Ovis aries: one gene and its partner. The protein of the gene in region 1 interacts with the protein of each later gene in a biochemical or structural test. Links are inferred from orthologs where the notes say so. Each region holds a gene or a part of one and is shown in the gene's direction. Other genes may lie near its edges. The genes, in order: TXNIP and SLC2A1.

Region 1 (4,370 bases):
CTAAACAGTTTAGGGGGGAAAAAAAAAACTTTCCAAAGACTGCAGAATGGTTCCCTCAAACAGAAATACGGCCATCTTTCCCTGACACTTTCCCTCTGACGATTGACAACTTTCCTGCTTTTAACTAATTTGAAGGCTGTGAGGAGTGTGGGCAGCAGATTTAGAGGTGTACCTCTGATTTAGTAAGTTGGAAGGGGGAGGAAGACGAGACAGTTAAAATAACTCAGGAAAAAGATGACTAGAGTGAAGCCTTTTTTTTTTTTTTTTTTTAATTACTTTCCTGGAGAAGCAGGGAGTGAGATACTCAGAGCCCAAAGAACACACTTTAACGAAGAGGTAATGAGGTAACTGAGAGACCATAAATAAAGTGTTCCCTAACTCTGCAGATCAGGGACTGAAGAGATGACGGGATAAGTGGCAGGATGTGGATACGCCCGTACTGTACCAGTCCAGAGAACAGAGAGAACCGAGTGGAGGACGCAGGGGCAGAGGCACACGGACCGGAGCCCCCAGCCTCCAGCCCAGGGGGCTAGAAAGGGAGTGGGGGATGGCTAATCAGTCCCATATATTCACTTTGCTGTGACCGCTGAAGAGAGGTTAAAAATTTGTGACAAGTTCTCTTTTCCTTCCCACACAGCCGGGATTTTTTATGGGGGGAGCGGGGAGGAGCAGGGGGTTGTTTGTTGATTTTTGAGAGATGCGGGGCAAGAGAAGGACAAAGCGGATCTTCCTCAACAGTAACGACTGCACTCCCTGTCCTCCGCCCCATCCTCAAGTATTCTTGGAGCTCTGGGATTGTTTTTCACACGACTTGCGATTTGTGAGCCGGGAATAAACAGTCACCTCTAAATTAATTACATTGGCTGAGGTTAGGCATGGAATTCCATCATAAGCACATTTTCCTTTTACCTCAAAATAATAGCTACCACTCCAAAAGCATCCACACCCGCCCTTCGAAGACCACTGGCCTCGGATAGATTTTGGGGTCAGTGAAGCATTCCTTCCTTGGGCACACGGGAAGCCGCCCCATAGCCCCTCCGCCCCCTCCTCCCAGCCCCGCAGCGATGCACAACAACCGTTTTCCCCGCCAGGAGCACACTGTGTCCACGCGCTGCTGCGACCTCGCTGATTGGTAGGGCTCCTGGTAAACAAGGAGCGGGCAGCCAATGGGAGAGCTGTGCACGAGGGGAGCACGAGCCTCCAGGCCAGCGTTCGCGTGGACCTGCCTGCCGGGCTACTATATAAACCAGTTTCCGGCTCTCAGTTGCAAACTATCGTTTCGTTTTCTGAGGTGGAACGCGTTAAGCCTTCCCGCCGAGATCCGGAGCTGTCCTCCAGCTGTTAGAAAGAAAGAGCTTATTTTTCTTTTGCAATCTCTTGATACAACTCGCGGCTTACATTTTTGGGTGGACGTGTTTTCGAAAATTCAGTAGAGAACTGAAAAGTGAAAAAGTTTTAACTTACAGCAAAAGGTCCTTTGATTGAGAGTTTTGTTTTGTCCTCATTTTTAACTCTTAAGCAGACCCAGCCCAACATGGTGATGTTCAAGAAGATCAAGTCTTTCGAGGTAGTTTTTAACGACCCCGAAAAGGTGTACGGCAGTGGGGAGAAGGTGGCTGGCCGGGTGATAGTGGAAGTGTGTGAAGTCACTCGAGTCAAAGCTGTCAGGATCCTGGCTTGCGGAGTGGCCAAAGTCCTGTGGATGCAGGGATCCCAGCAGTGCAAGCAGACGTTGGACTACTTACGCTACGAAGACACGCTTCTCCTGGACGACCAACCAGCTGGTAAGTGACCCAACTGTTTGCTGGAGGGTGAGAGCGGATTCAAGAAGAGAATTGATACGGATAAAGCCCACACTGTAGATCCTAAATTGCTCGGGTTGTGGGGTTTGAATTTTGTGTGGCTTCTTTATCTTTTTTAGCTTTAACTTGCTAACCCCTACCCCCACCCCCAAAAAAGGGTGATTTGTGCAACTTCTCAGGGTGCTGTGTTCTGTGGGTGATTCTGAGGGATGTTGACATAGCTATTGAAAGGTTTTTATGTCTTAATAAATTGCTTGTTCTTTGCTTGCTTCTTGTTTGAGATGATGATAGGTTGAGTCTTTCAGCACTGCAGGGCTTTGCAACTTTTTGCTCAGCGAATGCATCAGAATCTCATTTAAGAACATAAGGGGTTCTGCATTACTCTTGCACGCTGCCCAAGAATTCCTTATTGCATAGAGGCATTTTAAGTATAACAAGAAACCTAGAAGCTTCTCCTTTTTCTCTTCCTTCAGGTGAGAATGAGATGGTGATCATGAGACCTGGAAACAAATATGAATACAAGTTCGGCTTTGAGCTTCCTCAGGGGTAGGTAACTAAATGCATCTGTGATCTTATCTGTCTGTAAAAATCTTTCCCTCTTTTGATCAGTTACTCTTCTTGGAGAGCATTTTAAAATTGTTTCCTTTTTCTTGATAAAGGCCTCTGGGAACATCTTTCAAAGGAAAATATGGGTGTGTGGACTATTGGGTGAAGGCTTTTCTTGATCGTCCCAGCCAGCCAACTCAAGAGACAAAGAAAAACTTTGAAGTGATGGATCTAGTGGATGTCAATACTCCTGATTTACTGGTGAGATTCATTTTAAAAGTCTCTTCTTCTGGGTTTCAGAGATAAGTAGTTAGGTTTTTAGGGCATTAAAGTGAAGCCCGTCAGGGAATCAAGTCCTTAAGTCATCAAGGTGGGAGAGAAAACTACCTACTTTAAGCAGTGGAAAGAGAAGCAGAGAAAGGATCTCTAGAAATTCTCAAAACGTCTTTTTCCACTTCATTCTATATAGGAACCTGTGTCAGCTAAAAAGGAGAAGAAAGTTTCCTGCATGTTCATACCTGATGGGCGGGTGTCTGTCTCTGCACGAATTGACAGAAAAGGATTCTGTGAAGGTAAAAATCTAGTGCAGAAAATGAGAGACCCTTAAAACAGGAACTGTGGGTTTGGGAGTAAGGGCAGGAGGCAGGGACAGATTAAAAGTCATGGATTGCACTGAGCATCAGTTTTCATCTTTCTCATTGCCAGGTGATGAGATTAACATCCATGCTGATTTTGAGAATACGTGTTCCCGCATTGTGATCCCCAAAGCTGCCATTGTGGCCCGCCACACTTATCTTGCCAATGGCCAGACCAAGGTGCTGACGCAGAAGTTATCATCAGTCAGAGGCAATCATATTATCTCCGGAACCTGTGCATCATGGCGTGGCAAGAGCCTTCGAGTGCAGAAGATCAGGCCTTCTATCTTGGGCTGCAATATCCTGCGAGTTGAATACTCCTTACTGGTGAGTGGGTGGATGGGGTTGGAGAAAGAAATTGTTCATTGGTCTAAACGATAGTGGTGTTTCTCCAGATTTCTAGCCTAACAAACTGATGTCTTCCTTTCTAGATCTACGTTAGCGTCCCTGGCTCCAAGAAAGTCATTCTTGACCTGCCCCTGGTTATTGGCAGCAGGTCAGGCCTCAGCAGCCGGACGTCCAGCATGGCCAGCCAAACCAGCTCCGAGATGAGTTGGGTAGACCTGAACATCCCAGATACCCCAGAAGGTGAGCCAGACACCTGATCTCATTTTTTTCCCTCTGGCCTGGGTGGGTTTGTAAAATTGTGGTTAGGCTTTTCTTGGCTGGGCTTCTTATCTCCATGCTTTCTCTCTCTAGCTCCTCCTTGCTATATGGATAGCATTGCTGAAGATCACCGGTTGGAGAGCCCCACTACTCCTCTGCTAGATGACACAGATGGTTCTCAAGACAGCCCTATTTTTATGTATGCTCCTGAGTTCAGGTTCATGCCACCACCTACTTACTCTGAGGTGAGAATTGTCATTTACCACTACATTTGTCCTAAGCCTTTTATAGGAAGTTAATTTCTTGGGATTGCCAGACTGGATTGTTGTGTTTTTTCTTACCCAAACTAAAATACTCTTTCTTTTCTTCCTCCCAGGTTGATCCCTGCATCCTGAACAACAATGTGCAGTGAGCATGTGGAAGAAAAGAAGCAGTTATACCTACCTGTTTCTTTTCATCTCTCTTCCTGGACTCTTTGATTTTTTTAGAGACTCAACAGTCTCCACAGTGGGGTACAGGTCCACCCCAGCCTCTGACTCTCCAGTGTAGGAGGTGATCAGCAGGCAATCTCCTGGGCCTTAAAGGGTGCATATTCGTCCTCAGCCAGCGAGATGATGTGATACAGAGTTTTTTGCTAGATGGGTTTAAAAACACATTAGAAAAAAAACTAAGGCCCATCCCATTTTCTTGAATCTCTTCGAAAATTGAGGCATTTTCAGTAGTTTTGAGTAAGGGGTAGAAATGGCATCCTGGAATGGTGTTCCCACGGTAAAATTGAGGG
Region 2 (3,806 bases), about 82 Mb from region 1:
CGCTGCTCCGGCCCTGCCTCCCCCAGGTGTTCGGCCTGGACTCCATCATGGGCAACCAGGAACTGTGGCCCCTGCTGCTGAGCGTCATCTTCATCCCGGCCCTGTTGCAGTGCATCCTGCTGCCCTTCTGCCCCGAGAGCCCCCGCTTCCTGCTCATTAACCGCAACGAGGAGAACCGGGCCAAGAGCGGTACGGCGGGCCCTGCCCCTCCCCGCCCCCGGCCCCGGCCTCCTCCCCGCGCTGAGCCGCCCCCGCCTTCCCTCCGGCCCCCTCAGTGCTGAAGAAGCTGCGTGGGACCGCTGACGTGACCCGCGACCTGCAGGAGATGAAGGAGGAGAGCCGGCAGATGATGCGAGAGAAGAAGGTCACCATCCTGGAGCTGTTCCGCTCGGCCGCCTACCGCCAGCCCATCCTCATTGCCGTGGTGCTGCAGCTGTCCCAGCAGCTGTCCGGCATCAACGCTGTGAGTGCCCCGTACCCACCCTCTCCTGTGCCCCCCCGCCAATCCCTGGAGCCCGAGGCGTGCTGTGGACAGATCCCACACCTGAAAGAGCAGACGGACCCCTGCCAGAGGAGCAGCTCTCCTTTAGAGCCCAAACTCAGAAGGGCCCTGGGGCAGTGTCCTCTTCATGCTTTACTGACCGTGTGTCCTGCCCCCACTGGGACAGAGGCGGGGGAAGAGCCATAGCACCCCGCTGAGCCCCGACTGCCTCTGTGTCCGGTAGGTTTTCTATTACTCCACAAGCATCTTCGAGAAGGCGGGGGTGCAGCAGCCTGTGTACGCCACCATCGGCTCCGGCATCGTCAACACAGCCTTCACTGTCGTGTCGGTGAGTCTTCCGTGTCGTTGCCCACAGCCAGCCAGCAGCTGGGGTCCAGCCTGTGGTCTCAGGGGCTCGGGGCCTTGTGACCAGACAGCAGTCTTTACTGCGAGCTAGGCAGGCATCACGTGCTCCCTAAGTGCTCTCTCATTTCATCTTCAACAACTTGTCAAGTTCATTACTGGGATCAAACAGTTGACACTGATGTTCAGAGAAGTGCGGCGGCTGGCCCAAGGCCACAGCCGGAATGCTCAGCTGTCTGACTCTCGCAGGCAGCTCTCACCCCCTGGGATCCTATGTAGTCCCCGAACCCTGCCCCAGGGAAGAGGTGATCCATCTGCCACTCCATCTCTGCAGGGCCCTGTGGCTTTCCCAGCACTTGGGGGGACCCTCCTGGAGGAAGGGGTGTGTTCAGAGGGGCACCAGGAGGGGAGGCACTGACGCACCCTGTGCCCACAGCTGTTTGTGGTGGAGCGAGCCGGCCGGCGGACCCTGCACCTCATAGGCCTGGCCGGCATGGCTGGCTGTGCGGTGCTCATGACCATCGCGCTGGCGCTGCTGGTGAGTTGCCGTGCTCTGGGGGTGAGGGGGGGGGCGGGGGGGGCAGGGGGGGGGGGGAGAGGAGGGGGAAGGGGGAGCTCATGTGGGCATCCCAAGGTGCTCATCTCAGCCCCAGGCTGGCCGGCGGCATCCAGACCCCAGGTGGGGCTGCCCTCCCCCTCGTTCTGCCCCACCCACAGCCCCAGGCTTGGGCCAGACCCTCAGCTTCCTTGGGCTGTCTCTTTCCACTCTTATCTGAACCAGCTCCTCCCTGCCGGGTGCTTTCTCACCACCACACCTCCAGCCCTGCAAGTTGCCTTGCTCCTGGAGCTGCTCTGCAAAGTCTTCCTCCGCAGCCCCAATTCTTCTTGTAAACAGCCCTAGAAAGCAATGCCCTCCTTACCACAGAGGCGTGGAAACATGCATTATCTCACTCAGTCCTCAGGACGCACAGGAGTAGTGCAGTCAATATTTCTACTTCTCCAGTGAGGAAACGTCCCCCCACCCCCTTTCCTGGTGAGGTTCATAATGCAGCAGAAAAAGCCAGGAATCAACCTCAGGTCTGCTGGCCCCAAGCCTGTGACTATAACCTCTATGATAACCTTATCCCAGGCACTTCACACACCACTCGCTTATCCAGTGTTTGGGCAAGGAGAACACCAGGACACTCATTTTACAGCTGCACCAAGGCTTAGAGAGTACATTGACGACTGAGAGGCCCAGCATGCCCCAGGTGATAAGCAGGGGATCTGGGATCTGGAACAAAACCATATAACTCTTCTGCTGTGGTCTCCTCGAGAATGGCTCTCTGTGGAACTTCATGCCTGCCCAATGCTGGTCCTGAGCTGGGTACCTTACAAGCCTCTGACAGCCACCCCCAGGAATTTTCTTCCACATCCTCCAGCCATAAGCAGACTGCTCCACAGCCAAAGCCAGGGGACCACAGGGACCTCTTTTTAGCACCTCCTGCGTGCAACTACGTGACCGTTCCTGGAGGCAGTCGCAAGCTCACAACCACCATGCAGGGCTTCACCTGTTTTGTTCAGATGAGAACACTGAGACCTGGCCCCGGTACCTAAGTCACAGAGCAAATCCAGGGCCAGCCCGAGGCCTCCTGCCTGCCAGAGTTCTTAGCCTGCCCTGGGCTACCCCTGGAGTTGGTTTCCTCTGAGGACCCAGCACAGCCCAGCCTAACTTTCCTTCCCTCTCTCATCCTCAACAGGAGCAACTGCCCTGGATGTCCTACCTGAGCATCGTGGCCATCTTTGGCTTTGTGGCCTTTTTCGAAGTGGGCCCAGGCCCCATCCCATGGTTCATTGTGGCTGAACTTTTCAGCCAGGGCCCTCGCCCCGCTGCCATTGCTGTTGCCGGTTTCTCCAACTGGACCTCGAATTTCATTGTGGGCATGTGCTTCCAGTATGTGGAGGTAAGAACCCCAGAGTCCCCACACTTCAGCGTTTCTCTCCTGCACACAGGACCCCATAGCGCTGTGCAAAATGCTGTCCCTGGTGTTCCTACTGGAATCACACTGGGGAGGAAACAGGCTCAGAAGGCCAGGTTATGGGCTCAGAACCCTGACCTCCTCTCCAGGGTTCTTCCCTTAGCTTTGAATTGTCTATTCTGTTCTGCCATCAGAATCTGCTTCTACCACATGCCAGGTGCAGCAGAGTCCTGGGTTGTAGGTGGGTGTTCCCTTTTTCAGATCAAGGACCCAAAGGTAAAGAGATCGTCCATCCTAAGGGCAGGATGTAGGGTCAGGTCTCCAACCAAGTGTTTCTATGTGTCTTTCAGCAACTGTGCGGACCCTATGTCTTCATCATCTTCACCGTGCTCCTGGTTCTGTTCTTCATCTTCACCTACTTCAAAGTTCCCGAGACAAAAGGCCGGACCTTCGATGAGATTGCTTCTGGCTTCCGACAGGGAGGAGCAAGCCAAAGTGACAAGACACCTGAGGAGCTGTTCCACCCCCTGGGTGCTGATTCCCAAGTGTGAGGTGCCCCACACCGCCAGCCCGGTCTGCTCCCAGTGGCCCAAGGATCTCTCAGAGCGCAGGCAGCTGGATGAGACTCTCAAACTGATAGATCTCAGCAGACCCGGGCCTGGGGCTCCTTCCTTCAGCCAGCAGTGATGTCCAGAAGAATATTCAGGACATTAACGGCTCCAGGATTTTAACAAAAGACTGTTGCTCAGATCTATTCAGACAAGCAACAGGTTTTATAATTTTTTATTACTGATTTTGTTATTATTTTTTTATCAGCCAGAGTCTCCTTCACCCACATCCCTGGCTTCACCCTAAATGGCTCAGTGCCTGAGGGTGGGGACCAAGCCCTGCCTAGACACTTGCCTTCTTTGCCAAGCTAATCTGTAGGGCCGGACCTATGACCTAAGGACACACTAATCAAACTGCAAACTATGAGTCTTCTGCCCCAAGAGGTGGCTATGGCC

The links.
Region 2: the proteins of TXNIP (region 1) and SLC2A1 form a complex in vitro, tested with the Homo sapiens proteins (2 studies listed by BioGRID). The link is inferred for Ovis aries from reciprocal best matches to the Homo sapiens genes TXNIP and SLC2A1.

The regions. Positions count from the first base shown.
Region 1 is NC_056054.1:99,309,169-99,313,538, reverse strand, and holds the start of TXNIP (thioredoxin-interacting protein), read left to right. Parts: upstream 1-1,268; 5' UTR 1,269-1,534; coding exon 1,535-1,784; intron 1,785-2,275; coding exon 2,276-2,348; intron 2,349-2,461; coding exon 2,462-2,609; intron 2,610-2,817; coding exon 2,818-2,920; intron 2,921-3,053; coding exon 3,054-3,310; intron 3,311-3,414; coding exon 3,415-3,571; intron 3,572-3,682; coding exon 3,683-3,888; 3' UTR 3,889-3,965; coding exon of another isoform or gene 3,966-4,001; 3' UTR 4,002-4,370. UniProt on the Homo sapiens protein: May act as an oxidative stress mediator by inhibiting thioredoxin activity or by limiting its bioavailability.
Region 2 is NC_056054.1:17,374,262-17,378,067, reverse strand, and holds part of SLC2A1 (solute carrier family 2, facilitated glucose transporter member 1), read left to right. Parts: intron 1-26; coding exon 27-189; intron 190-275; coding exon 276-463; intron 464-725; coding exon 726-830; intron 831-1,280; coding exon 1,281-1,382; intron 1,383-2,583; coding exon 2,584-2,787; intron 2,788-3,152; coding exon 3,153-3,353; 3' UTR 3,354-3,806. UniProt on the Homo sapiens protein: Facilitative glucose transporter, which is responsible for constitutive or basal glucose uptake. Has a very broad substrate specificity; can transport a wide range of aldoses including both pentoses and hexoses.